Oryza sativa Japonica Group: one gene and its partners. The protein of the gene in region 7 binds, or shares a complex with, the protein of the main gene of each other region. Links are inferred from orthologs where the notes say so. Each region holds a gene or a part of one and is shown on either strand. Other genes may lie near its edges. The genes, in order: transcription initiation factor TFIID subunit 10, transcription initiation factor TFIID subunit 15b, transcription initiation factor TFIID subunit 11, transcription initiation factor TFIID subunit 6, transcription initiation factor TFIID subunit 13, transcription initiation factor TFIID subunit 8 and transcription initiation factor TFIID subunit 1.

Region 1 (4,013 bases), on a different chromosome or scaffold from region 7:
AACAAAAATAAATCTCAAATTGGTAGTATGTGGAACAAACATATTTCATGAAAGCACAAAGCTTCTATAATGATAGCTCATCTGTAGAGCATTACAGTCCAGAGTTATGTGATATTGTGACATGTCAAGGATGCCCTTTTGTGTGAGGTTTCGTGTGTAGAAGGTAGATTGATTCTGAACCATGGAATTGTAAACATAAGTGTACTGACCATGATGTGATTATAGCTGAATCAGTCATTTGCCAAGAATATTGCTGGGAAGGGAAAGCATAGAAGATCATTTGTCAAATAGACCTGTATATGAGCAGCTCATCCCTGTATATGAGCAGCTCATCCCAGGTCTGCTTAAATGCTTATTTCATGTACTATAATGTATGTGTTCTGGGGAGTGGATTCTAATCCCTCGAGGGGATGTCCCCTCGTATATATTTTTCTTTCAAAATCAATGCAAATATAGTTGTTAAAAATTCTGAAAAATATTGACAATGTAGAGTACAATTATATCTAATAGTCCACCAAAAATAAAGTTCAAATTCGACCTACACATCGAGAACCCAAAAAGACAAATTCAGATATTAACAGTGCGGTACTATTTATACGCTGAATTTGTCTTTTTTTATATCTCGATGTGTGAGTTGAATTTGGACTTAAGATTTTGTGAAGTTGTATAGATATGTTGTATAAGTGTTGTCAAATTTTTCTAGAATTTTTCATAACCGTTTAGATGATTTTTAAGCGGCACATCCCCTCAAGGGATCAAAATAGTTTCCCATTTGTTCTTCTGGTAAAATATTCCAATACAAGTAGGCTGTGACTGATTGTTGAGTTGATTAGTCTATCTGAATTGTGATTAATCGTGAGCATCGTGAAGCATATACAACTGATCAATTTGGCTACTTGTTTCATTAAAAAAAACATTAACAAGTAATCCCATTGGTCTAAAAAAGGTTAACTAAATCCATTCTACAGTAGATTTATTAATGCAGAGATTCAAGTCCTAATAAAACTAATAATTGCAATTATACGTCAAACTGAATAAACTGTGACTTCAATCACGTAAAGTACAGTGGTAACTGGTGAGCTGCAGTAAAAGGGAAAGCTTAAATTCAACAGGAAAATGGTTTACCTCTTGCAAGGCCTTGGAAAGATCATCCATTGTTAACACAAGACGCCTATCCTGAAGAACAGAATGACTGAACCAGTAAATAAAAGTACTGATTTCATGCTAGTAGTACCATGGTACACCAACTGCAATTAAACCCACCTTAGGTTGCTTGCTCTTGTTATCTTTGATAGGTGCTGCTACCCTGGCTTTGCAGTGCCTAGTTCAGGACAATAATCATGTGATGAACAAATTAGTGTGCATGATACCTTTTAACTGTCACAAGTTATGATACAAGCAACACCATAAGAAGCTTGACTTTACACATAAAGTTTCAGTCAGTACTGAAATTAGATTCCCTACCACATCAATGTTATGCATATTTCGCAATCTATTGTCTTAACAATATAGACATAAGATACCATGTTTGATGTTTCATTCCATGGTCATAATGTGAGAAGGATGATAGAAACAAAAAAAAGGAAGCACAAAGAAGATGCAAGTTGACAGTATGAAGAAAACAAGCCTAAAATCAACATGGTTATCTCAAAAAGCTGCCAGCATAGGAGAAATGAGGCTACTCAACATCTCAAGAATGAAGCATATTGCATACACCTCCATTTATGAATGATGCAAGAAACCTCATGGTTCATGACCATCATCAGAAATCATATTTCTCATTCACTATCTGAAGGTAACGAAAATTCGACTCCAAGAATCGATAACCACTAAAAAGGAACAAAATAATCGCACATACGTTTAAGTTGGAAAACAAAACGAATGAGGCAGTAAAAGTTACATACTGAAGAGAGTCGCTTGCAATGTCCGAAATGAACTTTTGGGTGGCTACAGCAACCAGCCTCGTTCTGCAGAGAACACAAAAATTATGGTTCATAAGGCCATGCTGTCACACATGACGACCAACAATCACCAAGCTGAAAGGGATACAGCGATTTTCTCCCTCGACTAGAATGGCAACACGCTGCATTACAATGCAATCCTAACAGCCTCAATCAGATCTAACTGTCACCATGTTGTACGTACTAAGAATCAGGCAAAATTCAGTCCAAATCTCTTCAGTGATTTCCGGGCACTGGACGAATTTCAGTTTAATAACTACCAATTGGCCCATCCTGGAAGGCACGGTGCAGTCTTCCTGAAAGAGAGAAGAGATTGAACTATTGGAGAGATAGATGGGGGTGCTTACAGGCGGAGGTCGGGGCAGTAGAAGCCGCTGCGGCCAAGGTAGTGCTCCACCAGCTCGTCGGGAATCTGCCGCACCACCACCACCACCACCACCACCACCGCATCAGACACGAAACCCAAGAGAGGGGGAAGCTAGGGCAAGATGGGCGGCAGGCGCCGTACCGTAGGGGTGTAGTCCATGAGGGAGGAGAGGAACTCGGTGAGGACCGCCTCGTCGTCGTGCCGCCCGTCTCCGCCGCCGCCGCCGCCGGCGGCGGCTGCCCCCATGGGCCCTCCTCCCCCCATGCCCCCCGGAACCATGGCGCCACCGCCGCCTCCGCCTGCGCTGTTGCTCCCCATCATCCTCTGGTCCCCCGCCTTCGCCGGAGGAGCTAGTGGGGTTTGAGATCTGGCACGTCGGCGGGGAAGTTCGCCGCCGATGGACCAGGAAGAGCGGCGGGAGTCGTCGTCGTCGCCGGAGGCTCGAGAAGGAGGGGGGAAGAGGGAGGGGAGTGGTGGGCTGTACTCCGGCCCTTTTGGTAATAAGCGTAGGATGGGCGGAGTTCAGGCCCGTTTGGAAAAAAAAGGGATAAGTCTATTTTACACCTATGAAGTCTTCGTTTTTGTCTAAAACTAGAAAAAAAAAGTCTATGCATTGGAACGGGTAAATGCTATTTTAATTTTATTGTTGTTATACGGTTTAGCTACGGTAAAATTCACTGTGAAAATTTGATTGGATATTTTTTCAGAAAATCATGAGCTGCAATTAGGAGACCGTATTTAATTTGAAGTTAGCATGTGAGTTTTTTTAAAAGATTTCTTATACGACTTACTTCCAATAGGAAATAAGCTTAAAATCTAACTCAAACACGGTTCTGTATTTTCAAAAGTGAACGAACTTAAAAACCGACTCAAATATGGATGACAAACCAAAATTCTAGCAAAAACATCTTCAGTTTTTATAATAGTAGAGATACACCCAATACTCTAAAGCCGGATATTTCACACCCTCTAACTTTTAATACCATTCACTTTATACCCCCTGAGCGGTTTACACCACGTCAGCAGGTCCTACAGTCTTCTTTCACCTTCCCCTCTCTTTCGACTCCCTCCCTCTATGAGCTTGAGGCAGCCATGACGAGATGGACGGAGCTGCGAGCTAGATGCGAGCATAGAGAAGAAAGGGGTCGGCGGAGAGCTTCGTGCCGAGCCCACCCCCTTGGTCGTGCTCGGAAGAAAAGGAAGGTTGGCAGCAAGCTCGATGTGGAGCTTGCCCCTTGGCTGAGGTCAGAGAAGAGGGGGGTTGGCGGCGAGCTTGGAGAAGAGGAACTGCTGAGCACGGAGAAGACGGGATCACCAGCAAGTTCCAAGGAGGGTTGATGGGCAGTAATCGGCCCCTCCTACCCAAGCTTCGATGTCATCATAAGCTCTGAGATCCGCTGCCACTCGTCCTATCCAAGTGTTGCTGTCATCGTAGACCCAGAGCTCTCCCCCCCCCAACACCCACTTGCCGAGGTCAGAGAAGACAAGTGCCAGCAGCACAACCTCGATCCCACGATAAGCTCAATGAAGGAGCCGATGCCGCTGGGCCTGCTACACAAGCTCAGGGAAGTCGTCGGCACTCGCCTCATTGAGCTCAGGGAGGTTGCCTCGCTACTCTACTTGTTAAGCTCGGGAACTCATCAACGGCCTTCTACCCTCGTCATTCATCTCGAAGAGGAGAAGGA
Region 2 (4,001 bases), on a different chromosome or scaffold from region 7:
ACGAACTGACATCTTATTTTATCTGTAAAATGTGCAGTTCATGTAGGAGCATGATGTGCGTCCATGTTTTGTCTGAAACCGACTGAAAGATAAACAGAGAGCACTGGAGTAAGAGAATTTTCTGATTGTTTCTACATAGGAGTAGGAGAGTTTAAGGCGAAAGTTACTGGATGGAAAGGAAGTCTGACTAATCGAGCTTACCCAAAAATTCACAAAACGTAGCATCTCCATCCCATCAAGAGCAATATGTGCTCTAGTTCTTGTTTTTCATCTTGAGGGAGAAATTATCCGATTAAGTTTACATGTCTGAAGAGCCTAATCATTTTTGTATATCACTTATATGTGCTGTCCTAAAGATTTGATTTATGGAAGAGTAGAAGACAATTCTCACTTCACATTCCAAACAGGTCATAAATCGACAATATCGCTTGTTATTGTGCGGTTTCCGCGGTAACCGGACTTACCTTTGGATACACTAATAGTAACTTATCCCGTCAAATTCAAATAAATTTACATAATAATATGAACTTCTAATAGCATCGTCTAGTTTTTCATGGTTTACCGTGTGATTACCGTGCTTACGATTGGGTGCGGTAACTCAACCCCTGATGGTAAGGTTAGCCCTGCTCTAACTAGGAAAAAACAATAACAAACAGATATATAAGACACAGGTTTAACATCAGTACTCTTAACTATTCCCTCCGCTCAAAAATATACTACCTCCATTCTAGAATATTCGTCGTTTTGAGTTTTTTATTTGTAATGTTTGACCATTCGTCTTATTTAAAAGATTATGTTATTATTATTTATTTTGTTTGTGACTTGTTTTATTATCAAAATACCTTAAGTATGACTTATCCTTTTTAGGTTTGCATTATTTTTTAAATAAGACGAATGGTCGAATATTGCAAGCAAAAAGTCAAAACGATATCTAATTTGGGATGGAGGTAGTAATAAATTTTGACACTTTCATTTGTCCACAAAAGGCTAGTGAATATTATTAATGGGCTGGGCCAAACACCCACCAAAGAAAATTCCCAATGGGCCTTGAGTGATCCCCAATATACAGCCCATTACATGTACACCCCAGCAATCCAGGCCCACACGCAGCGAGAGAATTCGACTCCCGTTTAATTCCGGCCCAAATCCATCTCTTTCGACTGCTTACTTCTGCCCTAATCCACACACGTATCAGAAATTCGGAATACTCTGTTCGCACTTGCCCTTCCGGAACGCTCCCAAACCCTAGGCGCGTGACCATGTCGGGGTCGTACGGATCCGACGACTACCGCGGCGGCTACGGCGGCCGAGGTCGCGTCGGGATCCTGCGGGTTGTGTGCGTGCTTGCTTCTGGATCTGCTCCTGACTGGCTTGTGGTTTTTTTTGTAGGTGGCGGCGGAGGCGGCCGTGGGAGGGGAGGTGGCGGAGGAGGAGGGGGAGGATATGGTGGTGGTGGTGTGGGAGGTGGATATGGTGGTGGTGGCGGAGGATATGGCGGCGGTGGCGGAGGGTACGGCGGCGGTGGTAGAGGTGGCGGTGGAGGAGGAGGCTACGGCGGCGGTGGCGGCGGCGGGAGAGGTGGGGGTGGGGGTGGCGGTGGCCGAGGTGGCGGCGGGAGGGGTGGAGGACGTGACGGTGACTGGGTTTGCCCAGACCCGAGGTTTGTTTCGTTTACTCATTTGACGTTGTCTCGTTTGATTCGACTGTGACTGATGAAATCGTGGTTGTCCCGATTGTCTTGTAAATTATGCTACTTGGCCATGAAATCTAGGGTTTTTAGGTTGTTAAATTATAAATTATTGGGTTATTTGATAATTTGGTTTAGGATTTTGCATGGGGCATGTGTGAAGTGTCCTACTAAATTTTTGTTTCATCGTAGTATTGTGAGCATCAGAACTGCCAACAAATAGTTAACTGCATAATTCATTCTCTATGAGAGCTCCCTATAATCTTAGGTCACAAGTGCTAAATTTATGTTGAACCTCTAGATACATAAATATTATGTTATACTTGTCTCCCATGATTTCTTCCCCTCCCCTATGTTCTATTTTCCTTGGTATAGCAGAGTGGCAGAGAAGAAATTTCATATATGTTTTTGAAATGAGTTCATGGTGTTATTGGAAGCATTACAAAATACAGTAAATAAGCACTACAAAATACAGTAAATACTTTCTTTTATGAATATGTTTCTTTCAATATGGCATTAGTTGTCTTGCTGAGTTGGTTATATTTTGCAGAATATTCGGTTGCAATTTCATTGGTTCTCTTCCAATATTCCTAATATATTTGTTTATCATTCTTGTTCCAGTTGTGGCAATGTGAACTTTGCAAGGAGGACTGAATGCAACAAGTGTGGAGCACCTTCTCCTGCTGGAGGTGGAGGTGGAGGTGGAGGTGGAGGGTATAATAAATCTGGTGGAGGGGGTGGAGGCTACAATCGTGGTGGTGGCGATTTTAGTTCTGGAGGTGGCGGTGGCTACAACAGAGGTGGAGGAGATTACAACTCTGGTGGCCGTGGTGGTGGCACTGGAGGGGGAGGAAGAGGAGGAGGTTACAATAGAGGTGGTGGCGATGATCGTGGATTTGATGACCACCGTGGTGGCAGGGGTGGTTATGGGGGAAGAGACCAAGGGAACAACCAAAGGGGAGACGAAAGTGGTTATGACGCTGGTAGCTATGGACAAGTTCCTCCTCAAGGTCCTCCTTCCTATGGTGGGCCTGGTGGTGACTATGCAGCACCTCCAAGCTCCTATGGAGGCAATAATGCATACAATTCAGATTCTGCAGTGCCACCTCCTAGTAGCTATGGTGGTGGTCCAGGTTCATATCCACCAAGTTATGGTGCACCACCTCCGAACCCGCCATATAGCGGTGGTGCTCCAGGTGGCCAAGGTAGCCTACCTCCTTCATATGATGGTGGGTATGGTGGTCGGCCTATGCCTGGGGGTGGAGGCCCTGGTGCACCTCCACCCTATCATGGTGGTGGTGGTGGTGGTGGTGGCGGCGGCGGTGGCGGCGGATACACTGGCAGTGCTGCTCCAGAGCCAGCTGCAAAGGTTAAGCAGTGTGATGCAAACTGTGATGAGACTTGTGATAATGCAAGAATTTACATCTCCAACTTACCTCCTGATGTGACTGTTGAGGAACTGCAAGAACTATTTGGAGGAATCGGCCAGGTATACTTTGACCTCCTCTTGAGCTCCCACATATTTAGTGTTTATGAACTGTGCATTTCACGATTCGCTCACTGAAATATTTTGTGCATTTTATGTCTTTTTTCTAACCTCATGTTTTTCATTTTATGTGTTTCGCCATAATATCTTTTTCCAGTGTTACTGATATTACTTGTTGGAATTTAAGTAAATTTACAAATCAGTATTCAGATGATGTTTATAATCTGTAGTTGGGCTTGTTAACATTTTTTTCCCCTTTTGCTTTCACTACTGCTAGCACATTGCAAGTCATAGTTTTGCACAAAATCTGCTCCATCTGTTGTATACAGCGCAGTTAGAGCGAGCTTATTACATATTGTTTTTTTCCTTGCTAGTGGAGAAGTACACCCTTGTGTTTCAATGTGCATAATTAAATTTGGATATTTGTTTTGATGTAACATAATCATCTTGCAGTAATGATGCTCTTTTTTTTTGTAGAAGTAGTAGTACTGTAATTTTAGTTATAACCAAGCCATTCAATGATTTTGTAGTAATTTTGCTTTACTCCCATATTGGTATTTTATGCCAAATAATTCGTGGCATATCACCCCATGATGTTAATGTAAAATCTTTGATAATAAAGTAAAGTTGGTTTTACAGATTACTTAGTGTTCCTAGCTAAATTTATTGCAAGAAATTAATTTCTTTAGTTTTGGGGGTGGTAACTGCTTGTGTTTCATGGCTGTGTTTTGAGTTTTTGCAACTGCTTTTTTCTTAAGGTTGGAAGGATCAAGCAGAAACGTGGCTACAAAGACCAGTGGCCCTGGAACATAAAGATCTATACTGATG
Region 3 (4,126 bases), on a different chromosome or scaffold from region 7:
ATCTCTTTTTGTTTGTCGCACCCCCCCCCCCTCCCCCCCTGTTGCTGAAAGCGATCAGCGCAACCGAAGCGAGGAATAATAATCGGCAATGATAGCGGGAGTTTGGTCAGACGAGCCTCAGACGAACAGCCGGTCGAATATTCACTCTCATCACCAGCAAAGCGGAAAAAAAAACACGACGATATATGTGGCTCTCGTCGTTTTATATTCACATGTATGATGTATCATACGGAGTATGATAGTATATATGTGTGTGCATATAGTATGTTGTTTTTTATATTCGTGGAGCAAAGTGATCGGCGCCAGAAAGCACCTTTGTGCCGTCAATTTTATTCAGGGGAGAGAGAGCTGCAAGAACTAGCGAAGAATATTGTTGTGTGATCTGGGTAAGTAATCTAATGGCGAGGCTTTGCTTGGGCAAAGAGGAGGTCAATGGTGAGCGAGCGAGAATCCTATGCGTTAGGATTAGCGGCAATAAACAAAACGGCCTCCACTAAACAAGGCGCGATACGGAGGTAATGCAAAAGCTGTGAGAGGGGGGCAAAGCAAATCCTATCCTCCTCCTGAATGCCCAAATCCCAGCGTGATCGATCGGGGTTGTTGTTTTTGTAGCTGCTTAAGCTTTTTATTGCACACGTTTGATGCATCGTTCTCAGGATGGGTCTCTCGGTGGGTCAGTGCCCACGGCTTGGGAGTTTTCTGGTCCCGAAAACCTGTTGCACGATGTGATACGTCTCGAACGAAAAGATGAAACTTTTTTGTTGCTGTTCTGATGATGGTAGTAGTAGTAATCCTGTTTTTTTTTGTTCCTTTTTTCTTTACTTTGCGCCCGGCCATTGTAAGGTCCGCATCGGAGGTAGGCCACATCACGGTTTCAACTGTGTATAAGCGTGTAACATCTGCCGTTGCTGAAAGAATGCTCCTCTGATGTTGTTCTCTGACGTAAAAAAGGAATCTAGGATTATATGTGATATATTCTAGTATAGTGTGTTCAAATTTATGGTATTAGGATGTGTTATATCTAGTACTAAGTTGGTCTTTTATAAGACGGAGGGAGTACGTCGTTAATATGTAGGTTCACGAACTGCAAAATTCATATGTCAGTTAGAGAATTTGTTTCCGCCGCTGCTGCACGCGCCGTGAGGCGTGAGCTGCTCAGCGGTGGCGCGTTCGGCACGAGCGATTTGATTCACCGGTGAAAATTCTCGCGGCCGCCACGGAGAAATCGGCCCAGAAATCCGGCCCGAGAAAAAGGCCCACGCGCGAAGCAGCCCACCAAGCCCGGCGGCGGCGAGCAGGTAGGTCAACCCCGGCCCAAAAATTTTCAGAAGACTCTGGACTCTTGCGATTCGTCTCCAGCCGCGGCCATGAAGGACCCGTTCGAGGCGGCGGTGGAGGAGCAGGAGTCGCCGCCGGAGTCGCCGGCGGCGAACGAGGAGGACGCGGCCGGGGCGCCCGAGGGATACGACGGCGCCAGCGGGTCGCGCGGGCCTCCGCTGCGGCTGCCTCCTTCGAGGGCCGCGCCATCGGGCTCCGGTGGTGCCGCCGCGGCCGCGGCGAGGGGTAAGGTGGTGCGGGTCCAGAAGGAGCAGCAGGAGGAGGAGGATGACGAGGAGGACCACATGGAGGTCGACCTCGACAAGCTGCCCTCCGGCACCAGCGACCCCGACAAGCTCGCCAAGATGAAGTAGGTGCTTGGCTGCGCTCATCCTAAACCTAGTTTTGCCTTCTTCTGGTGCGTGCTATATATGAAGGGTTAACTGCATAAGGATCAACTAAATTCAGGAACCATATGACCGTCTGTTGAGTATATACGTTCTTTGATCGAGTTCAGTGTTTTAGCGTCCTTCACCCTTTTAACTTTGGTTAATTTGTGACAGTAAGATTTGTACTAGTGGAAATTTCTGAATTGGAGTAAGGATTGTTCGTGATTGTAGTTACAGAACAACCTGACATTATTCACTTCATAAAGACTGTAGTCCCAGTTTCCAGCTATATGTGAAGCGTTTACTGGCATAAAGATCAGTTAAAGTTAGGAACCATATGACTGTCTATTGAGAATATGTTCTTGATCAAGTTCAGTGTATTTTGGTGTCCTTCACCGTTCAACTTTGGTTAATTTGTGACAGTAAGATTTGTACTAGTGGAGATTTCTGAATTGGAAAAGGGGATTGTTCTCAATTGTTTGTGATTTTATTTACAGAACATCCTGACATTATGCACTTCTCAGATTTATGTTCCAATATATATAGTGAAATATTAAACCCATCTAAATAAGAATTCTATGTTTGAAAAACTATGTACTCCTTTTCCAGTGCCATACTGTCTCAATTTACAGAAGACCAGATGAACCGGTATGAGTCATTCCGCAGATCTGGATTCCAGAAATCTAACATGAAAAAGGTATGATCTCATTCCCAACATCCATTGATTTAATATCGTACAAGTATAAACTGCAATATCATGTGCGTGTGATGCGTGTGGCGCCTCCATCTGAATTGGCTTCAGTGTTCCCCTTTGCAATAAAAGCTTTCCACAAAATGTGGATCACATTAACATTTTCTGCTTTCTTAAGTCTTACAGTTACCTTATTTTCTGTTGAATAACACCTGTTCTATTTTGGTTCATGTTTCTTTTGTGGATGCATACCATGAGTTGTACAATGTACCATGCATGTCTTGTCCAAATTGTTGATAGAGCTTCATGTACAGGACAGTTGATTTCGCTCCAAGTTGTAGATAAATACATTTTTGCCTATGTCATCGTTTCTACTGATTGTAAGTGATGTACACTCTCTAAATAAAAAACCAAACTTGGTCAATATTCTTTTCTTCAATTTATAGGCAGGCTAAGAAAGCCTTTTTGTAGTGTCAATCCAAAGTTTGACCTTTTTCTCGGTAAAAATGTTACTTTTGGCTGTTGAATGCCTGAAGTTAACAATGCTTTGAAATTACGTTCTAGTCAGAGGGACAAGTGCTTTAATGTATTTCCTCATCAGTGGTTGAAATATGAGATCACTGCGTTATTGGAATGTTTTTCGGAGTTGCTAGAAATATGGCGCCATATGCTACAGTCGATTTTTTTTAACCACTTACACAGTAGTTACACCTCATTTACACCCCATTTACATATGTAATTAGTATGTAATTTCGAATTTACATATGTAATTTTATTACTTACATATGTAATTTTGAGACTTACATTGTAAATACACTAAAATTACATATGTAATTTAGGGACTTACAATGTAAATACATGCCGACTATTTTTTGATGAAAAATATGACGCCATAAATATAGCTACACCCATGTTTTTTTAAAGTTGATTTGATATTCTGTTTCCATGCAGCTATTGGCGAGCATTACTGGCAGTCAAAAGATTTCTCTACCAACAACAATTGTAGTATCAGGAATTGCAAAGATGTTTGTTGGTGAGCTTGTTGAAACAGGCAAGTCTAGAGTAATTATCTTATTTACTTTGTTGCTCATAGAACACTACCACCAAAGCACCTATGATTTTGATGTATGCTCATCTCTTAAAGCAAATCACTCTTATGACTGATCTTTTGTAATCGTCCGTGTTCAAATGTCCTTTTCTGCTTTCCATAAACTTGTTCTCTGACATCAGAAGAAAAAGGAGGGATGGCTTTATTCACTTTATTTTTGACAATTCGATTGTGTCTGTTGCAGCTAGAATAGTTATGACTGAGAGGAAAGATTCTGGACCAGTAAGGCCTTGCCACATCAGAGAAGCCTACAGAAGATTGAAACTTGAAGGGAAGATCCCACGGCGGACTGTTCCCAGGCTCTTCCGTTAGAATTGAAGCATCTCTGTTGATCCCAGTCGACACTGAGATGGTCCTTTCTGCGGTCAGATGCGCGGAAAGAGAGAATGACATGAGATGTATTTCTTCAGCTTTGTGAAATTGTTACTGTGATTTCTGTCGCAGCAAGGGAACCAGAGCAAACAGTACGTACAAGCTGAAGTACTACGGTACTACTAGCCGTGGAAAATTCTATGTATAAAGTATTGGCCGTAGGCTGTGAATTTTCAGGCTTATGAATAGTTGAACTGTGTACTATGCTGTTTGGAGTATGCGCTGAATCTGATTATATGCTTGTCTGCA
Region 4 (4,169 bases), on a different chromosome or scaffold from region 7:
ATATGTAGCAAAAGTAACATCAAAGAAACCAACCTAGCACGCTAAACCAACCCAGTGATAATATTGAGAGTGCCAAAAAGGACATTATGTTACTCAAAAAAGGAGGAAACGCCTATATATGGAGTCATACAAAACATATAAACACATTGGCAATGTTTAATATATACTTCTCAGTTCTTAATCTGAAATTAAAAGAAAAACAGTTTCACATTTTCCCAGTTCTAACATTGAGCGTGGCAAAGGGGCATTATGTTACTTGTAAGCAAAGTAGGAAACTTTTACATACGAAGTCATATACAACAGCATATAAACACATTGGCAATGTTTAATACATAGTTCTCAGTCCTTGATTTGAAACAAAAAACATAATCATCAAATTCTAACATAAAGTGCATTTAGCTTAGCACACCCCATTTGACATGAATACATATCTCATATTTTATTTTGTATTTTCACATGGATTATTTCCCCCATCTTACCCAGCGTACACTATTGGGCTTCATCCTACTTATTCAGCTTTCTCTCATTCAGTTCCACGCAAAGTAAAATCAGCATCCTACTGGACTGCAGTAACCTCACAACTAGTGGGTGTCAGAGAAATAGGGGGCTGAATGGAAGGATATGGTTTCTCCCCTATGCTCAGTTCAGCTGTTCCCTTGAGGAATTACATGTCAAGCTTTAAAGACATTATTTGTTTTCTCGAACACACAGGAGAGCTGTGTTCTCAAATGGAACAGAAGGATTGTATATTTGTATTAAAGAAGAAGAGAGGGGAAGAAACCACCGAATACACCCAGACACCAAAAGCCTCTACCAATTGCAGTATCAGTTTTCAAACAAGAGATGATTGCAATGGCATTTATATGTCAGGGAACAGACATACCAAAAACAGATACAGGCATAGAGTTTGCCTTATTTATGGCTAACATGTCTCCATGAAAAGATCGTCAACTCTAAGTTTCTTAAACATTTATACTTTTAGCTTAATAATGAGCTGATTCCGAGAAATACTGAGCTCGACTATTTAGCTATCCAACTCAGAAGTTTGATGCATTCAAGCATACAACAGTTACTAGATCTACAAAACCTTTATTTAGTAGTCCTAAAAAATATTGTCAACGAAATAGAAACTACCTCAACATTCCTGAGGCTGAGAGCACTATCAACATCATCGGCAGTCAGGACTGTCCTCTTTGCATGCCGCATACACTTGATGGCCTCCTGTCACAATCCACAGCATAATAAAATACATATAGTGCCTAGGAGAAAATGGAATGGCATTTCTGTGACTGAATATTTATATGCTTACATACAAATTTTGCAGATCAACATATACTTCCAGAAAATTATCGCAAAACAACAGATGTAACACCAAATTTATAACTTAAGCAACGAGATTATAGATCTACAGATAAAGCACGGACTTTATGAGAAAACTACAATTTATGAAAAGTTCATCACGATAGATGAAACCTGTAAAATTTGTAGTTTCATGATAAAATCGGTGCTAAATCGATAATTGTGTGATATGGCTCAAATATGTATTTTTCTGGTAATGCAGTGTTAAATTTGTATTTTTTGTGACAACTCTGTAGTTTGTCAATGATAGTTTTCCAAAATTTATGAGTAAAGATCAGATAGGAATAACATATTTCCAAGATTCAGTAAAGAAAACCTCAAATGATGAATTTATCGTGTAAATAGTGGATAGAACGCAAATTCTTAGACTCACTACCTCACTAAATATATACAAATTAAAAAAAATGGTGATAAAACAGGAACAAAACCCCAACATATGTTACCAGTAAGCTATAGCATGCAATCGAATGAGAGAAGATTGAACAGTCCAGAAACTCTGTAATGGTGTGCTTCAATGCTTTTGAAGAGACAATAGTGAACAAAAAAAACAACCATCTTCCGTCCAATATATTGCATTGCTATGAAGACCGTCCAATATATTGCATTGCTATGAAGACCGTCCAATATATTGCATTGCTACAAAAACCCAGTGAACATATATTGAGCAGGACACAGTTAAGCAGTCAGTGTGAACCAGCATGTTCAAACAACAAGATGGAAACGCATCTCGTCCAGCAAACTCAAAACCCATTGGAATAGGTCTATCGCAAATATTCCACCACACAACTTAGCACAATGGTTGAGCATAGCAATCAATTGAGAGAACGAAGAACAAAGAGCAAGCAATTGCTCCCTGCGGTCCCAAATCACCCAGAAACTACAAATCCACGCCTCGGGGGGGCAGGCAATTTTCCTACGAAGGGAATGGTGGAAGTTGCCTCCTAGTCCCCCAAAGTGCACGAAACTAAAACCGAAGGGAAGCGAGAGATTCGGGAGCGCGGGGGGGACGGACCTGCATGATCTCGCGGAGGCGGTACTCCACGTCGGGGGCGAGCGCGGCGGAGACATCGGCGGGGAGGTTGGCGATGCCGACGCTCTGCCCGATCACCTCAATCGTCTCTTTGGGCACTATGCTCATCCCTCCCCCGCTCTTTCTCCCCCCCCCCCCCCCCCCCCTCTTCTCCCTTCGCCTCCCCTCGCTCCTCGCTCGCCAAATTACCCAAACCCTAGCTCTCTGGCCGTACTGCTCCCTTCTAGCCTCCGCCTATCCGCCACTGCTGCAGTGCCCTCTTCGCTGGTTCGCTAGCATCTAAGCGCTCGCCGCTGCCTCCTCGCCAGCGTTTCTCGCCGCCGCCGCCGCCGCTGGCATGCACGCCGGAGCCGACGAGAAGAGGATTTGACCGAGTGTGGCTGGGAAACGTTTGTGAATCAAGAATTTCTCGTAAAATAGAAAACTACTTCGTAGGATATATTCCTAGCTTAGGGAGCAATTGGTTATATACTTCTCTCTAGGGTGTTTACTTGCGAAATTCTTATCTGCCGCACACGCGTCAGTATGGTCGCGCATCAGCCCACCAGCCCACGTGCTGTTTTCACATTTTCCCGTGATTTTCGGCCCACCAGCCTACTTGTTGTTTCCTTTTTTCGCCATGATTTTCGGCCCACAAATCCACGTGCTATGTTTCCTTATTTTCGACTCCACTCGTTTCCTTATCGTTTTTTTATTTTTCGAAACATTCAACTTAAATTTTGAAACGTTCAACTCAAAATTGATTCAAATTTGAAAACTTTCGAATCAAGTTTCGAAAATTTTTAACTCCAATTTCAAAACTTTTAACTCAAAAATCAAAACTTTGACTCAAATTTTGAAAACTTTCAATTCAAATTTCAAAAACTTTCAACTCACAATTAAAAATTTTCATCGCAAAAATGTAAAACTTTTAACTCAAAATTCTAAATTTTCATTTCTAACTGAAAACTTAATGAAAACTTCCATATCAAAATTTAAAAAAAATTAACTCAAATTTAAAATTATTTATGTATTTTGAAAAATGCTAATTATGATAATTAACAGTAATTACTGTAATTATCACTAATGACTATAATTAGCGGCGGGCGTCTTGCACTAATCGCGCGCAGGGTGTGGGAGAGGGGGGCGTTGCCCGAGTTAAGCAGTCGGCGTGTGCGCGGCCATTAGAGCAAGGTCAATAGTGCAGCTAGTAGTAGGCTCTAAAATTTTATCATGTCTCAAGTAGAGCTAACTTAAAAAGCATCTCATACAACAAGCTAACTACAAGTTAGCTATAAACTACCTTGGTTCAAACGAATTAACAAGCAGTAGAACCCACAAACAAATTTTTTTATTGTATCTCCTGGCCGATACAGCGTGGAGCGCTGTACAAGCGCCGGCGCCAGAACAAGCGACGGCTTCTTTCTCAATCACTGATTTTCTTTCCTTAATCTCGTTTTAGACTGATTAACAAGTTTTGGAGCGTTCCTAATAGCACTATTGTACCCGCTCTTAGAAACCAAGTTTTCTTGCTAAAACGAAAAAGGTTACTATATTTGATCACTTAGAGCACCCGCAATGTTAATGTAAAGTGCTATCTATAAAACATGTACATCTCAGCAATAGACTAAATTAATAGTAAATCACTTCAATGGTATGTCTACATGGATATCTATAGCTCTCTAATCTATTGTCTCGTTTTTCTCTATAGACTATCTCCAGATTAGTAGATAGCTATACTCTCTCTCTCTTCATTTAATCTCTTCCAAGTAGGAAAATATGCTGACATGGATCTCTTGTA
Region 5 (4,270 bases), on a different chromosome or scaffold from region 7:
CATAAATAAACATTACATACACATATGGTTTTATCCACATGCAGGTATTTAAAATCAAATAAAAAATTACAGTTAACTAAATTCTTGTGTTTGGTGTGTATTTCTGCTGTTACAGAGTGCATACTAGATTGTAGTCATGTAAAAATTTTGTCCAACAACCTGGGGCAAAGTAAGTCTGCAGGGTAAACAGACCTAATAAATTCATATCGTCGCGTATTCAGATCACGCATGGACAAATTATCTACAAAAATATATTCAGACAAGTGGGGCATGTTTAGATATCTTCACCCCATGTCACAGGTACATTTCATTTACACTATGCACGATTACAAACTCAAGGTTCCATATCATGCAGGAAAGTAGACTATATAGAGACTTTAAAGAAAATGCCTTTCTTAATATAGTTTACAGATAATTTAAGCAGGGAAGAACTGCCAAAAGATGGCAAAGCTCTATGAATCATTAACAAAAAGGGCTCCACAAGAGATGCAAATCCTGGTGATAACTATAACCGTTGCTGAACAGGTATGGAGTGTACCAGCCAGAACAATTTAAATTGGAGTGAATTGCACCTTGGGCTAGGAATATTTACCCAACTTTCTATTTGAACCATATGCTCTAGCCAATGTTTTTACTTTGGATTATGTATGTTTGCCTCTATGTTGCAATTTGGGCTTATATAACTGTCTGTAGAACTCTTTCTCCACCCGCAGTTCTACCAATGCCATCACAATCGCTACACTCTGCCTATGCACAGTAATCCACCAGCTCCAGCTTTTGCTCAGCCTCGAGCTCCACTAGTGTTAGCCCCTGATTTGAGCTCAAGATGCTCCACCATAGCGCTGAGACGGTGTTCCGGCCAGTGGGTGCAAGAGCAGGGGATGGTCAGGTGATTAGCATGGAGAGGTCTGGAAGGTTTGTCACTGTATGAAGCTCTTCAACTTATCTGGTGGTTTATGATTGAGAAGGGAACTGAGGATGGAAAAAGTTAATTAAGGCTTTTATTTGTGGTGGACTAGCTGAGAAAGGCTTGGCAAGATGCTCCACCATAGCGGCCTGCACAAATGAGCTGCCGCAACGAGAGCACATGATGGCGCACAAGGAGAGGAGACGAGAGGACTGACGAGGAAGATGACTATATGGAGGCTGACGTGTGGGACTAATGGTCCAAAGTGCAAAATTTGATACCATAAGCTGGTTCAAAGTGAAAACCTTTGATAATACCTAATCCAATGTGCAACTTAGGAAATAAAATCTAGTCCAAAGTACAGTTCACACTTAAATTAAAGTTCAGATTTGAGACCATAAGAATAAAGTATAACTTTATATTTTCTTGAAATTTCATGTACAGGTACACTAGTTTACTTTCATATGCCGGATCTGAATTATTACATATTAGCATGCAAAAAGTTCGAATCCAATATTTTTATCACAAAACTGGTTTACTGCCGGTAACTAGCTGGTAACTGGTTTTTTGATTCAAAATTTTGGAATCGAACTTTTGTCCAGTAGAGACCTGGCAACTTATTTTCCAGAGGGAGTAGTTCTTTTTTCCCGAAACCAGTGTTCAAACTTCAAGCCCTTGGGCTCTACACAAATATGAACTATAGGTTAAAGTGAAGCCCCTATTAATTCTCAAAACATAAAAGGCTTCATGTTTCCCGACAAACAGAAGCACTGAACCTAATCACTCTTTCCAGAAAACTACCTAATCACTCTTTCCAGAACACTAGAATTGAATTAAATAAGGCAACAAATAAGGATGTCGAAATCCAAATAAACTCCTTTCATCCATACAACCTTCATAAATGTAATTTCAGTAGAAAACAAGAAAGACAAATACAATGAAAGCTTACCAGGTCAGTGACATATTCTACAACAATGTCCTCCACAAGTGCAACAGTTTCTGGAAGCGGCTGCAAAACCAACAGAAAGATGTCATTTACATACAAGATTTTAACTTAAAAGGTAGAACAGCATGTCCATTCTTTCTTAGGCAATCATGTAGTTGTGTTGTAAATCCATGGCCTACTTGCAATTATTGTCGTTGTCGGTGTTAATTACCTCCAATGTTCCACAACACAAAGTACACAAATTGCATCCTATCCCCAAACAATTCCTAGCCTGAAAATTAAGAGATGAAAGGCATAGATCGAGGTCGGGCTTACATTTGGATCATCCCCAAATCCGTACATCATGTGCTGCACTGCAAGAACGGGGAAAAATGCAGCATAAACAACGAATTCGAAGAACAGCAGCAGTACTAAAGTTTAGAAAAAACAGTGCCGTACGGTCTTTCTGGAAGACGCCGCGCTTGCGCTTGAGGGTGGTGGCGGACGCGTCGGCGCCGCCGCCGCCGCCGCCGCCGCCGCCGGAGTGGTGGTGGTGGTGGTGGTGGGAGCTCCCCTGGCCCGACGCCGACGCGGCGGCAGCGGTCGAGGACTTGGACTTGGCCGCCGAGGCCGGGCTAGCGTGGTGGCCGCCAGGGTTCTGCATCCCGGCGGAAGAGCGAAGGACGCGAGGGGTGAGGGAGGGAGACGGACGCCGCCCGCCCCCTCTTCCCGACGGCCGGCGGCGCTCCCCTCCCCTTCCCTTCGCTCCTCGCCGCCGCTTGGATTTAGGGCTTTCGCGTGCACTATGCACAGCCGTGATGGATTTCTGAGGGGCGAACTGGAAGGAAACGAGTGGAGTCAGCCTCACACTAGCGGCGGAGCGTAAGGCCGGGAAGGGGGAGAGGCAATCGCGGCGGAAGCGTACCGGCGGCGAAGGGAAGGAAGCAGCTGGTGAGCGTACCGGCGGCGATTCGAGAATTTTCCGGTCCTTGCGGCTTGTATGGTATGATTTGGAGTTTACACGAGGGAATTGCGGATGAGATTAAGATGAGAATTTAATTTTTAATCCTAATATCTTGTTTGGTAGAGATGATAAAAATTGATAAGGAGTTTAGTTAGAGATTAGGTCATTAATAAAAATGGATGGCTGAGATTTGCTTAGACAAAGTAAAGGAGGAATTCCCTCCCAATTACCTGCCGTATTGAAAAGGAGGGATCTACATCCCACCAAAATTCTTATGTCTCCCAACCAAACAAAACACTTAATAGCCTCATCCCTCTAAACTCCCAATCCCTCCTGAAAACTCTCTCCAACCAAACGGGCCATTTGAGAAATTTTGCAACACACCATATTGTCCAGTTTTGCATTACCGTTTTCGAGTGAAGACCGGTTTGTATCGGTTTGGTAAAAAAAACAATAAGAATAGCAATTTTTAATCAATTTCATACGAAAATTGCTACTCACTCCGTTCCAAAATATAACAACCTGTACTAGATGAGACATATCTTAGTACAATGAATCTGGACAGAGGTACAAGGTTGCTATATTTGAGGGAGTAAAACCACTTAGTTTTCGTAAACCAGTCCCCACGGCATTTTTACGAGAACTGGGTGATTTTCAGTCAGTGATTGCAACATTAGACTTGAGATACAGGAGAGCATAGATAAAGAAGACATGAGCCACTTAAAGATAAAGGAGAAATAACACTTTCAAAAATATTAGAGCACTTAAAAAAGGATAATGAGTTAGTACTTAGAAATGTGAAGAAAATGGTTCATATAGGGAAAGGACGAGGAACAGGCAAATTATTGTACCTATGGCTAGATCTGATAATAGAGAGTAGAGCGTCAACAACTCGACAATAATGATAACCAAATAGCTAAACGTTTCCAATAGAAAGTTAGAAGTCAATGTTGGAGCACTTGCCACCGCCGCTAAAGAGATGGCTAAATCTAAGTGCCATTAAAATTAGATCATGGCGATGTGCTTAAGGACCGATGACGATGAATGAACAAGGATTTGCAATGGGACCTACAACTAGATTAGTGGTTGTGGTGGTAATGTGCACAAGGAGAAAGAGTGGCAAACCTCTGGTCTTAAATGACATGACAACTTGCAACTTGATATCTTAACTCTTTCAATACTCCAAAGTAATATTCTTGGAAGATATGGACCTAATGAGAAACGGGTGGAGATATGAATTCATCTTTTTTCAATGGCAACTTCATTTTTAGAATGTTCCTCAATGCCCTTTTTTTTTAATTCCTAAAACTTGTTGCCTACCTCCCACTTTGTTTTTTTTTTTGTTATCTTTGGTACTAAGGAATTGACTTTATGCCACCGAGTTTAGTACTCCATCCGTCTCAAAATATAACAACTTCTAACATTCAAAATTTATCCCAGAATATAACAACTTCTTCACCTACAATCTCTTCTC
Region 6 (4,009 bases), on a different chromosome or scaffold from region 7:
CTTATAAATTTTGAAGTTTTTTAAGTAAAGTTTATTTCTATTATATAATACGGTTAACAATATAGTTTTGTCATGTAAATTATAATCAATAAGTTCGCTATAATTTATATCACAAAAATTAATGAAACTTTGTAAAACCAACCATGACTACTTAACAAAAGAAATGGACAAATATTTTCATTAATAAAATAATCTAAAATAATGGGTACATAATATAATATAATGGTGTAAACTTTATTTTCAAGTATTGTAGAGCTAATTCATTTATGTATACTTGTAAAAGAGTTATATGCTGATATATTATTCTATGTTTGTAAAGTAACTTTTATTTAAAATTTATTATCACTAATAATAGTAATAATAATTGTCTCAACTATATACATTGAAAAGAAAAAAAGTTACGTACTAACGTACGTACATATATATACCATGGAAGGAGAGGTGGAACAGTATAGTCACTTTTCGTGTTTGGATTTATTTAAAGATCCACTGATTTAAGTGAAAATCAAGGGATAGATGTTTTGCTTTTTTTTTCTCAGATTTTCTACGATTTTCTTTACTTCCTCCGTTTCACAATGTAAGACTTTCTAGCATTGCCCACATTCATATAGATGTTAATAAATCTATACACATATGTGGCTAGATTCATTAACATCTATATGAATATGAGTAATGCTAGAAAGTCTTACATTGTGAAACGGAGGAAGTAGTTTATTAGAGCACCATATGGCGGCTTGAGAGCGTTTTGAGGAAGTTTAATGACCTTTTAGTATATAATAGATAGATAGATTGCATGTGCGTATCAGCAATCCTTCTAATTTAGGATATTAGTGCGGTGGTGGTAGCCTACAAGGAATCCAGTTAATCAGAACTAGCAGTGGAAGGTAGATTCGCAATTTTTGAACTGTATACAGTGGATGCTATTTTTCTAACCAAAGCTTTAAGGAAAAGCATAACAGAATGTGACTACCACATATATTCAACACATAAACCATCCATGTAGCATTCTCTGTTATCTCGTGATGTGATAACTTTGTACTTTTAAATACAAAATGTGCATATTACAAAAAAAAGGATATTCTTGTGTAGTTATGTGGTTTTCAGTTATACACTCAAATTAATAGAGATGCACGTAATGGCTATGAAGTAAATCTGCCAGGAACAGTTAAGTGAAAAAACAAACAAACCTCAAGATCTTGGCAAATGCTGCTCCAACATGAATTTGAAAAGTCCCTAGTTTAGCCAGTCCAAAATTCACCATGCAGCTCTGTGGGTACTGCAAACATACAGGAACGTTAAAGCTGAGTAAGTTCATGTGGATTATCCATTGCTTCCCTTAGTATCAACTCTGCCCTCTGCTCCTTATCCTCCTTGAAGAACCAGGGATCCTTCAGTTCAACCAGAGCTCTCGAATTCAGTGCCATCACCATTGACTTCTTATCAATCCCAATTCTAAAATACACCGGTGGCCTCTCTTTTGGAACAACCCTCTTCTGAGTCTGACTATCATTTTGGCCCTGATCCATACCCTCATCAAATTCTCCACCTTTTGATTCTTCAAATGCGGGTGCGAAGGCCTCAACAACAGAGAATGTCTTCCCCACACCAGGCATGGTAACCTCGGACACCGCCTTCTCCCCATAAGGCAAAGCTCGCTCATGAAACGGATTCGCCTTGCTCTCAACCACATCTAGTCCGTTCGCTTTGACTGCATCATCGACCAGCATTCCTGGTCGGAACCCGTCGGCACCTGCAAGAGCAAGACGCCGTTGCAGGCTGAGCAGCGACTTCTCAGCTTTCCTCCGCTGCCGCGCCCGCTCCACCTCATCCGCCCCAGCCTTAGCCACCTCCTCACTCCACAACTCGCTCCTCACATACGTGTGAGGTTCCGGAAAGGCCGGGAGCCATTCCGGGACATGGCTCATCCCGCTCTCCCTACCCAAGACCGCAAAGCTCGTCGTCGAGTGCAGCGGCACACGCTGTACCGGAAACCTCGGCAATGGCCGGCCCGCGAACGGGGATTCCTTGGACGCGCCAACAAACACGGCCATATCCTTGACGACGGCGGAGTTGGCGAGGCAACGGGCAGAAACCGAGGCGGCCCCCGCGAAGCCATAGTAGGCCGCGCCGCACTCCTCGAGGAACTGTATGACGTCGCACTCGTTTGCGGCGGCGCGGCCGGCGAGGTTGGCGTGGAACGTGGCGGCACGGCCGAGCTGGCAGATGTACCGCAGGAGGACGTCGACGAGCGCGTCCACCGCCGAGCGGTGCGCGCAGACGAAGCCAGCCGCCTCCAGCATCCGCGCCACCGCCGCCCTCGCCACCGCCCTCCCGAAGTCCCCTCCTCCACCCGCTGCTGCCGCCGCTGCTCCTCCCCCTCCTCCTCCTCCTCCTCCTCCTGCTCCTCCGCCACCACCGCCGCCTACCCTGCCGGCCCGGCCACCACCCCCGCCGCCTCTGCTGCTCATGCTCGCCTTCGCGCTCGGCCGCGCCCCAATCATACCGGCGGCACCTCTATCCCACCGCCGCGAACCCAGGCCGCGCCGCCATCGAGGGGGGGAGTGGCAGCGCCAAAATTGCGGGGGAATTCGAGCACCGGTGGTCGAAATCGGGATGGAAATCTAGGGTTTAGGGGTTGACCGTTGGGGAATCGGGCACGCGGAGGCGGCGGAGCTCGGAATTCGGAGAGAAATCCAAACCCCAAGCTGGCGAAATGGGGAGAGGGAGACGACTTGAGTTGACTACACTAGCGAGAGAGCGAGGAGGACACAAGCAGCAGCGGAGAGAGAGAGAGAGGCGTGTCGGCTGAATGCGGAATGCCTCAACACAGGAAGATTTCGGCCATCTTCCGACGGCGGGGAATGAACGGCCAGGATTTTCCATTCTCGATTCAGGAGCTTTGTCACTCGATGGGTGGATTATCGGGTGCTTCTATGGTCTATACAAAACAAAGTCAACATGGAAGGCATCCACAATGGTTATTTATAGGCTCTCTACAAGAGATCCATGTCAGCATATTTTTCTACTTGGAAGGTATTAAATGAAGAGAGAGAGCAAAGCTATCTACTAACTTATAGATAGTCTATAGAGAAAAACGAGGCAATGCATGAGAGAGCTATAGATACCAATGTAGACATACTATTGAAGTGGTTTACTATTAATCGAGTCTATTGCTGAGATGTACATGTTTTATAGAGAGCACCTTAGAGCACCCGAACCATTCGTCTATTGCTGAGATGTACATGTTTTATAGAGAGCACCTTAGAGCACCTGAACCATTGCGGATGGTTCGGGTGCTCTAAGGTGCTCTCTATAAAACATGTACATCTCAGCAATAGACTCGATTAATAGTAAACCACCTCAATAGTATGTCTACATTGGTATCTATAGCTCTCTCATGCATTGCCTCGTTTTTCTCTATAGACTATCTATAAGTTAGTAGATAGCTTTGCTCTCTCTCTTCATTTAATACCTTCCAAGTAGGAAAATATGCTGACATAGATCTCTTGTAGAGAGCCTATAGATAACCATTGTGGGTGCCCTAAGGGCAGCCCCAACCCTCCATCTAGGATGGTGTCTATAGCATTAACTACATTGCCATGTAGGACTTTTAGCTTATATGGCACTATATTAATTCAGAGAGTAAGTGAAGAGAGGAAGAAACTGGGTCTCATGCAAGACACAGCCTCAACACGAGAACCTATGCACTAGACACTATCAAATTTTGTATTGGGAGAGAATAGTATCTTCATAATAGATGAAGAATAAATATGATTGGTAGAGAAGAGAGATGATGTATTTATTAGTGGCCTAGTTTAAGAAACCATGGGTTGTAGAGTGTAGTTTCTATTGTGATGTCTTATTGACATGATATCATAGACACTGCTTATGGACACTATGGGTTGGGACTGCCCTAATAGGGTAGGCGGACACTCAAAGGTTAAATTGGTTTTATTTAGAGAAGAGTAAAGTGTGTTGGCGGTCCTTAAACTTGTAGGGTTGTGTCGTA
Region 7 (4,198 bases):
GGAGCTGCCAGAAAGGGCAGAAAATAATGAATTGTTATAAACAGGGTTAGGCGAAGAAACAATAAAAATATGCATTATAGAGTTACGAACTTGCGATTTACCTTGCTCAGAAGGATCAGTTGGTGCTGCAGAAGGCTTGATCAGCTATATAAGAAAACGACAGTATTAACTTGTTTGACAAGGAAAATATAAGTCAAATTAACTTAACAATGATTATAAGATAGCATACATCAATGTCTTTCAAAGATGGGCCAAGCTTGTCCGCCAGTGCAAAAAGGTGCTCCTTTGCATCCTGGTAAATCAAGGAAAATAGAAGTGATACAACAGAAATGCGGCTATAACTTATTTCATTGTATACAATACTAACTCTATCCAATGGTGTGGACGTGTGGTAACAAAATCAATACTGACACATTATTAGTTTGTGGGGTATAAGATGCTCAGTACTTATGTTGGATCCTATCAAGAAATTGGTAACTCTAATTAGAAAAATATATAAAAGTTAAATGTTCAGGGAAAAAAATAAAGGACTCATGTTAAATAAAATGTAGTGAATGGACCGCCATTAGAGGTAGGTCCATGCTGCTGTAGTGCCAAGAAATTAACTTATGATGGTGAGTGGTGAGATGAAAGGACTACATCCATACTGCCAAAACAATAATCCCTACGTCCCAAATTATAGGGCGTCCTTGTATCAAGGAAAATCAAACTCAATAAATTTTGACTAATAATTACACTAGCTATATCTATGCTAAGTATGATGCATGTTATATCATTATATTTGTATTTTAAAATACTTTATTGTGATACTTATTTTATAGTTGTTTGATAACATAATATGAAATAAATTAATGGTCAGAGTATGTCATTGTAGACCGTGTAAAAAAATATAGGCCTTATAATTTGGGACGGAGGGAGTACATCAATATTACATTGAGCAAACTTTTTATTTTGCATATATTCCTCCTACACTGCTGTAAATTTACCCAATCCTTTAATTTGCACACTCTGTCCACATCTCAGTGTAAAGGAATTGTGTGAATCATTCAGTGGCAAATAAAAAATTGCCTCCCACCTAACAAGTTCTTTACTGGACTATATCATCTAGGAGAAATCACAGGGTATCCACACAGAAATGCTAACTAACATGCATATTCTGCAGTATATCTGCTAGAGGCAGCATGATATTTTTTTATTAAAAAAACATGTAACAAAAAAAGGATATTCCACCATTTCAAAAATTGTTCAACTACCTCGTCGAGATAGTCAGCATCCAAGTCACCAGAATCATCAACATTGCCGAACATGAAGCCCAAGAAGTGATTCCCTCCACCAGGTTCATCATAATCCTCATCATCATCGTCATCTGCAAAGGATAACAAAAATAGCAACAGCATAACTGGTTGGATCAATTAACTCAGTACTAATTGATCAAGTCTAATCAACACTCATCAATTATTATGGCAAATCAATAATCCAGATTGTAGAAGAAAAGGACAAAACAATTAAAACTTAAAAGCAATTTTGTCCATCCCCACACTGCAACTCACATCCTAAAATTATTGTCCACAAAAACAGATGGTGTTATTATGAATTCAGATTTTAAAGAATTGACATCTCATCAACAAAGTCAAATTCGGAACTTAGAAAGACTGATAAAAAAGGCTCGCAGAATGATGCTAAACTCTTGTAATGCAACATGTATAAACAGAAGAATGTTGCTTTGCAGCCATAAACGATTCTCAGAGGGTTCATGTGATCTTTTGGCAATTGAGAATCTTAGACAGTCCGTTGTTTCATTCTACAGCTTCACTTCCCTAGTAGACACAGGAATGAGCACCATGCATGCTGCATTGAAAATTCACTTGGCTAAAGTATGCCCTTATCCAGCTAAAGGATCTTTTTTAATTCATCATTACTATATGTATTATGAATTCCATATTTAGATGAGGAAACTGGAGTACAACTGGACATGGAATTCTGCTCTCTAAAATGAATATATATATATAGTAATCAGTTGTGGCAATAGTTGCATGATCTTGGGCATCTCGTTTTACCCAGATTGGTTGGCTATCCAGTCACAATTCAAAACGGAAAGAATACATAACTATTTATATAGTAAAAGATACTAGCATGCTGGTATTCCTTCAGGGCTTAGAAAGTTCATGACAATTGATAAGACAGCACGGGGAGCTTGCTGAAAGAAACAGCTTTTGTCCAAACCCCTCCTAAACTTTCAAAAAAAAATGATCATCTAATCATATATATATAGGACACCAGACAGCAAATCTGCAGCTCATCAAATCCAACCTTCATTACCAGGCACCGAATTTACAGCGTAATGTGTAAGCCTGGCCACAGAAAAAACACAAAAGTACACAAGCGCGCGGACCGAATCGCATCAAAACCCTGCCTCCTCGTCGCAGCAATTCACAACCCTAGACAGTCCCACCCGGGGATCGAAGCTCGCGTCGCGGGACCACAGAAACCAAACCAAAAGGCAACAAGCTCCGTGGAATCGAGCTTACCTGCGGCACTGGTGGTCGGGTTCTCGTCCTCGCGGCGCTCGCCGTCGCCCATGGCTTCCGCCACCGCCCCACCAACAACAACGACGAGGACGCCTCCGCGCCGCGACGGCGCAAGCCGCGGCCGCAAACCCTAGACCGCCAGACCCCCCCCCCCCCACCGCCGGGCGCGCAGGCCACCGAAACCCTAGCGACGCTAACGGTGGAATTCGCCGGGCGCTGGACCGGAGCTGAGCGCAGCCAATTACTCCCAAATATAAATAAACAAAAAATTCGCCAGGAGAGGAGCGCGTCGCGGAGAGGTGGAGTCCAGCCAGGGACCGGGGGGGGGGGCGATTCCCCTCGATCCGCGCCACGTACGGGCCTCCAACGTCAGTCGCACGAATCTCAAAGCGCGATGGCGGCGGGGACAGCGTCGTCCGCGTCGACGGCGGCGCCGGGGTCCTGCACGAAGGCGGCGGCGGCGGCGAGGAGGGTGGCGGCGGAGGGGCGGGGAGGAAGGGTGGGGGGGGGAGGGGGATCGCGAGAGCGGCGGAGGTATCGGTGAGAGGAGAGGGCTCGGTTGCCGAATGCGGGGTGCGGATCGGGGGCGGCGCGGGTGGGGGGTGCGGGCGCAGGCGGGCCGGGCTGGCGTGAGATCTGGGCCGTTTACGCGGTGGGAACCGACGTTAGATTGGAGGGCCCAATCTTCCCACTAGATGGGCCGTCACTCTTTTTATAGCAGCCCATGGGCGGACGGATCACCTCTCTCCAGCCCTTTTCTGGGAGAGATTTAAATATTTACCACTTTGTGACAATTAACTATCTGTCACTTGTCACTGGACCCCTATGTCAAAGACACATGAGAGCTGTTATTTATATATGAGTGACTAATAGTTAAACACCAAATCTAAACATGGCTAATAGTTACTCCCTCCGTCCCATAATATAAGGGATTTAAAGTTTTTTTTGCTTGTAACGTTTGACCACTCGTTTTATTCAAAAAATTTTGAAATTATTATTTATTTTATTTGTGACTTACTTTATTATCCACAGTACTTTAAGCACAACTTTTCGTTTTTTATATTTGAAAAAAAAATAGAATAAGACGAATGGTCAAACGTTACAAGCAAAAACTCAAAATCCTTTATATTGTAGGAACGGAGGGAGTAGACACTTAGACGCCCCCGTCTTCTGATTGTCCCCAGTCCCACAACTCAACTCTGGTCGCTATTCACACATAACATGTTGATGTAACCTTTTGGCAGATTGGACTTGTAGTGAACTACTCCCTCTGTCCCAAAATAAGTGTAGCCATAATTTTCAGCGCCCAACTTTGACCATTCGTCTTATTTGAAAAAAATTTGAAAAAAAAAATAAAAACATAAGTCACGAGTAAAGTACTATTCATATTTTATCATCTTATAACAACAAAATTGTTAATTATAAAAAAATTTCAAATAAGACAGACGATCAAAGTTGGGCGCGGAAACTCATGTCTGCACTTATTTTGGGACGGAGGTAGTACTAATATAAATTTTGCAAACTTATAAACCCTAGATTGAAAGTTTATGGGCCTAAATAAATCATTTAAGGCCCTTTCGAACGTAGGAATCTTATAGGAATTCCACAGGAATTATAGTTCAATTCCTGAAAAAATCCTCCATTCCAAAAGAGGCCCTATACAAGTTGGG

Evidence for each region.
Region 1: transcription initiation factor TFIID subunit 1 (region 7) and transcription initiation factor TFIID subunit 10 share a complex: the UniProt entries of both Arabidopsis thaliana proteins name them as parts of the TFIID complex. The link is inferred for Oryza sativa Japonica Group from reciprocal best matches to the Arabidopsis thaliana genes HAF01 and TAFII15.
Region 2: transcription initiation factor TFIID subunit 1 (region 7) and transcription initiation factor TFIID subunit 15b share a complex: the UniProt entries of both Arabidopsis thaliana proteins name them as parts of the TFIID complex. The link is inferred for Oryza sativa Japonica Group from reciprocal best matches to the Arabidopsis thaliana genes HAF01 and TAF15b.
Region 3: transcription initiation factor TFIID subunit 1 (region 7) and transcription initiation factor TFIID subunit 11 share a complex: the UniProt entries of both Arabidopsis thaliana proteins name them as parts of the TFIID complex. The link is inferred for Oryza sativa Japonica Group from reciprocal best matches to the Arabidopsis thaliana genes HAF01 and TAF11.
Region 4: transcription initiation factor TFIID subunit 1 (region 7) and transcription initiation factor TFIID subunit 6 share a complex: the UniProt entries of both Arabidopsis thaliana proteins name them as parts of the TFIID complex. The link is inferred for Oryza sativa Japonica Group from reciprocal best matches to the Arabidopsis thaliana genes HAF01 and TAFII59.
Region 5: transcription initiation factor TFIID subunit 1 (region 7) and transcription initiation factor TFIID subunit 13 share a complex: the UniProt entries of both Arabidopsis thaliana proteins name them as parts of the TFIID complex. The link is inferred for Oryza sativa Japonica Group from reciprocal best matches to the Arabidopsis thaliana genes HAF01 and TAF13.
Region 6: transcription initiation factor TFIID subunit 1 (region 7) and transcription initiation factor TFIID subunit 8 share a complex: the UniProt entries of both Arabidopsis thaliana proteins name them as parts of the TFIID complex. The link is inferred for Oryza sativa Japonica Group from reciprocal best matches to the Arabidopsis thaliana genes HAF01 and TAF8.

What each region holds. Positions count from the first base shown.
Region 1 is NC_089043.1:20,160,801-20,164,813, forward strand, and holds the start of transcription initiation factor TFIID subunit 10, read right to left. Parts: upstream 2,801-4,013; 5' UTR 2,650-2,800; coding exon 2,470-2,649; intron 2,374-2,469; coding exon 2,309-2,373; intron 1,968-2,308; coding exon 1,905-1,967; intron 1,322-1,904; coding exon 1,264-1,321; intron 1,177-1,263; coding exon 1,126-1,176; intron 1-1,125. UniProt on the Arabidopsis thaliana protein: TAFs are components of the transcription factor IID (TFIID) complex that is essential for mediating regulation of RNA polymerase transcription.
Region 2 is NC_089035.1:3,330,238-3,334,238, forward strand, and holds the start of transcription initiation factor TFIID subunit 15b, read left to right. Parts: upstream 1-1,201; 5' UTR 1,202-1,259; coding exon 1,260-1,311; intron 1,312-1,389; coding exon 1,390-1,660; intron 1,661-2,308; coding exon 2,309-3,176; intron 3,177-3,931; coding exon 3,932-4,001. UniProt on the Arabidopsis thaliana protein: TAFs are components of the transcription factor IID (TFIID) complex that is essential for mediating regulation of RNA polymerase transcription.
Region 3 is NC_089035.1:28,595,761-28,599,886, forward strand, and holds the start of transcription initiation factor TFIID subunit 11, read left to right. Parts: upstream 1-1,326; 5' UTR 1,327-1,367; coding exon 1,368-1,687; intron 1,688-2,315; coding exon 2,316-2,403; intron 2,404-3,348; coding exon 3,349-3,448; intron 3,449-3,689; coding exon 3,690-3,817; 3' UTR 3,818-4,126. UniProt on the Arabidopsis thaliana protein: TAFs are components of the transcription factor IID (TFIID) complex that is essential for mediating regulation of RNA polymerase transcription.
Region 4 is NC_089035.1:18,531,957-18,536,125, forward strand, and holds the start of transcription initiation factor TFIID subunit 6, read right to left. Parts: upstream 2,801-4,169; 5' UTR 2,498-2,800; coding exon 2,372-2,497; intron 1,222-2,371; coding exon 1,135-1,221; intron 1-1,134. UniProt on the Arabidopsis thaliana protein: TAFs are components of the transcription factor IID (TFIID) complex that is essential for mediating regulation of RNA polymerase transcription. Required for proper pollen function. May stabilize the interaction of TFIID with selected promoters.
Region 5 is NC_089035.1:13,333,485-13,337,754, reverse strand, and holds the start of transcription initiation factor TFIID subunit 13, read right to left. Parts: upstream 2,801-4,270; 5' UTR 2,758-2,800; intron 2,671-2,757; 5' UTR 2,497-2,670; coding exon 2,292-2,496; intron 2,207-2,291; coding exon 2,169-2,206; intron 1,917-2,168; coding exon 1,857-1,916; intron 1-1,856. UniProt on the Arabidopsis thaliana protein: TAFs are components of the transcription factor IID (TFIID) complex that is essential for mediating regulation of RNA polymerase transcription. May be involved in polycomb repressive complex 2 (PRC2) mediated repression.
Region 6 is NC_089037.1:23,460,522-23,464,530, forward strand, and holds the start of transcription initiation factor TFIID subunit 8, read right to left. Parts: upstream 2,801-4,009; 5' UTR 2,502-2,800; coding exon 1,296-2,501; 3' UTR 1,188-1,295; intron 1-1,187. UniProt on the Arabidopsis thaliana protein: TAFs are components of the transcription factor IID (TFIID) complex that is essential for mediating regulation of RNA polymerase transcription.
Region 7 is NC_089040.1:27,235,762-27,239,959, forward strand, and holds the start of transcription initiation factor TFIID subunit 1, read right to left. Parts: upstream 2,801-4,198; 5' UTR 2,581-2,800; coding exon 2,529-2,580; intron 1,367-2,528; coding exon 1,254-1,366; intron 293-1,253; coding exon 230-292; intron 145-229; coding exon 102-144; intron 1-101. UniProt on the Arabidopsis thaliana protein: TAFs are components of the transcription factor IID (TFIID) complex that is essential for mediating regulation of RNA polymerase transcription. Core scaffold of the TFIID complex.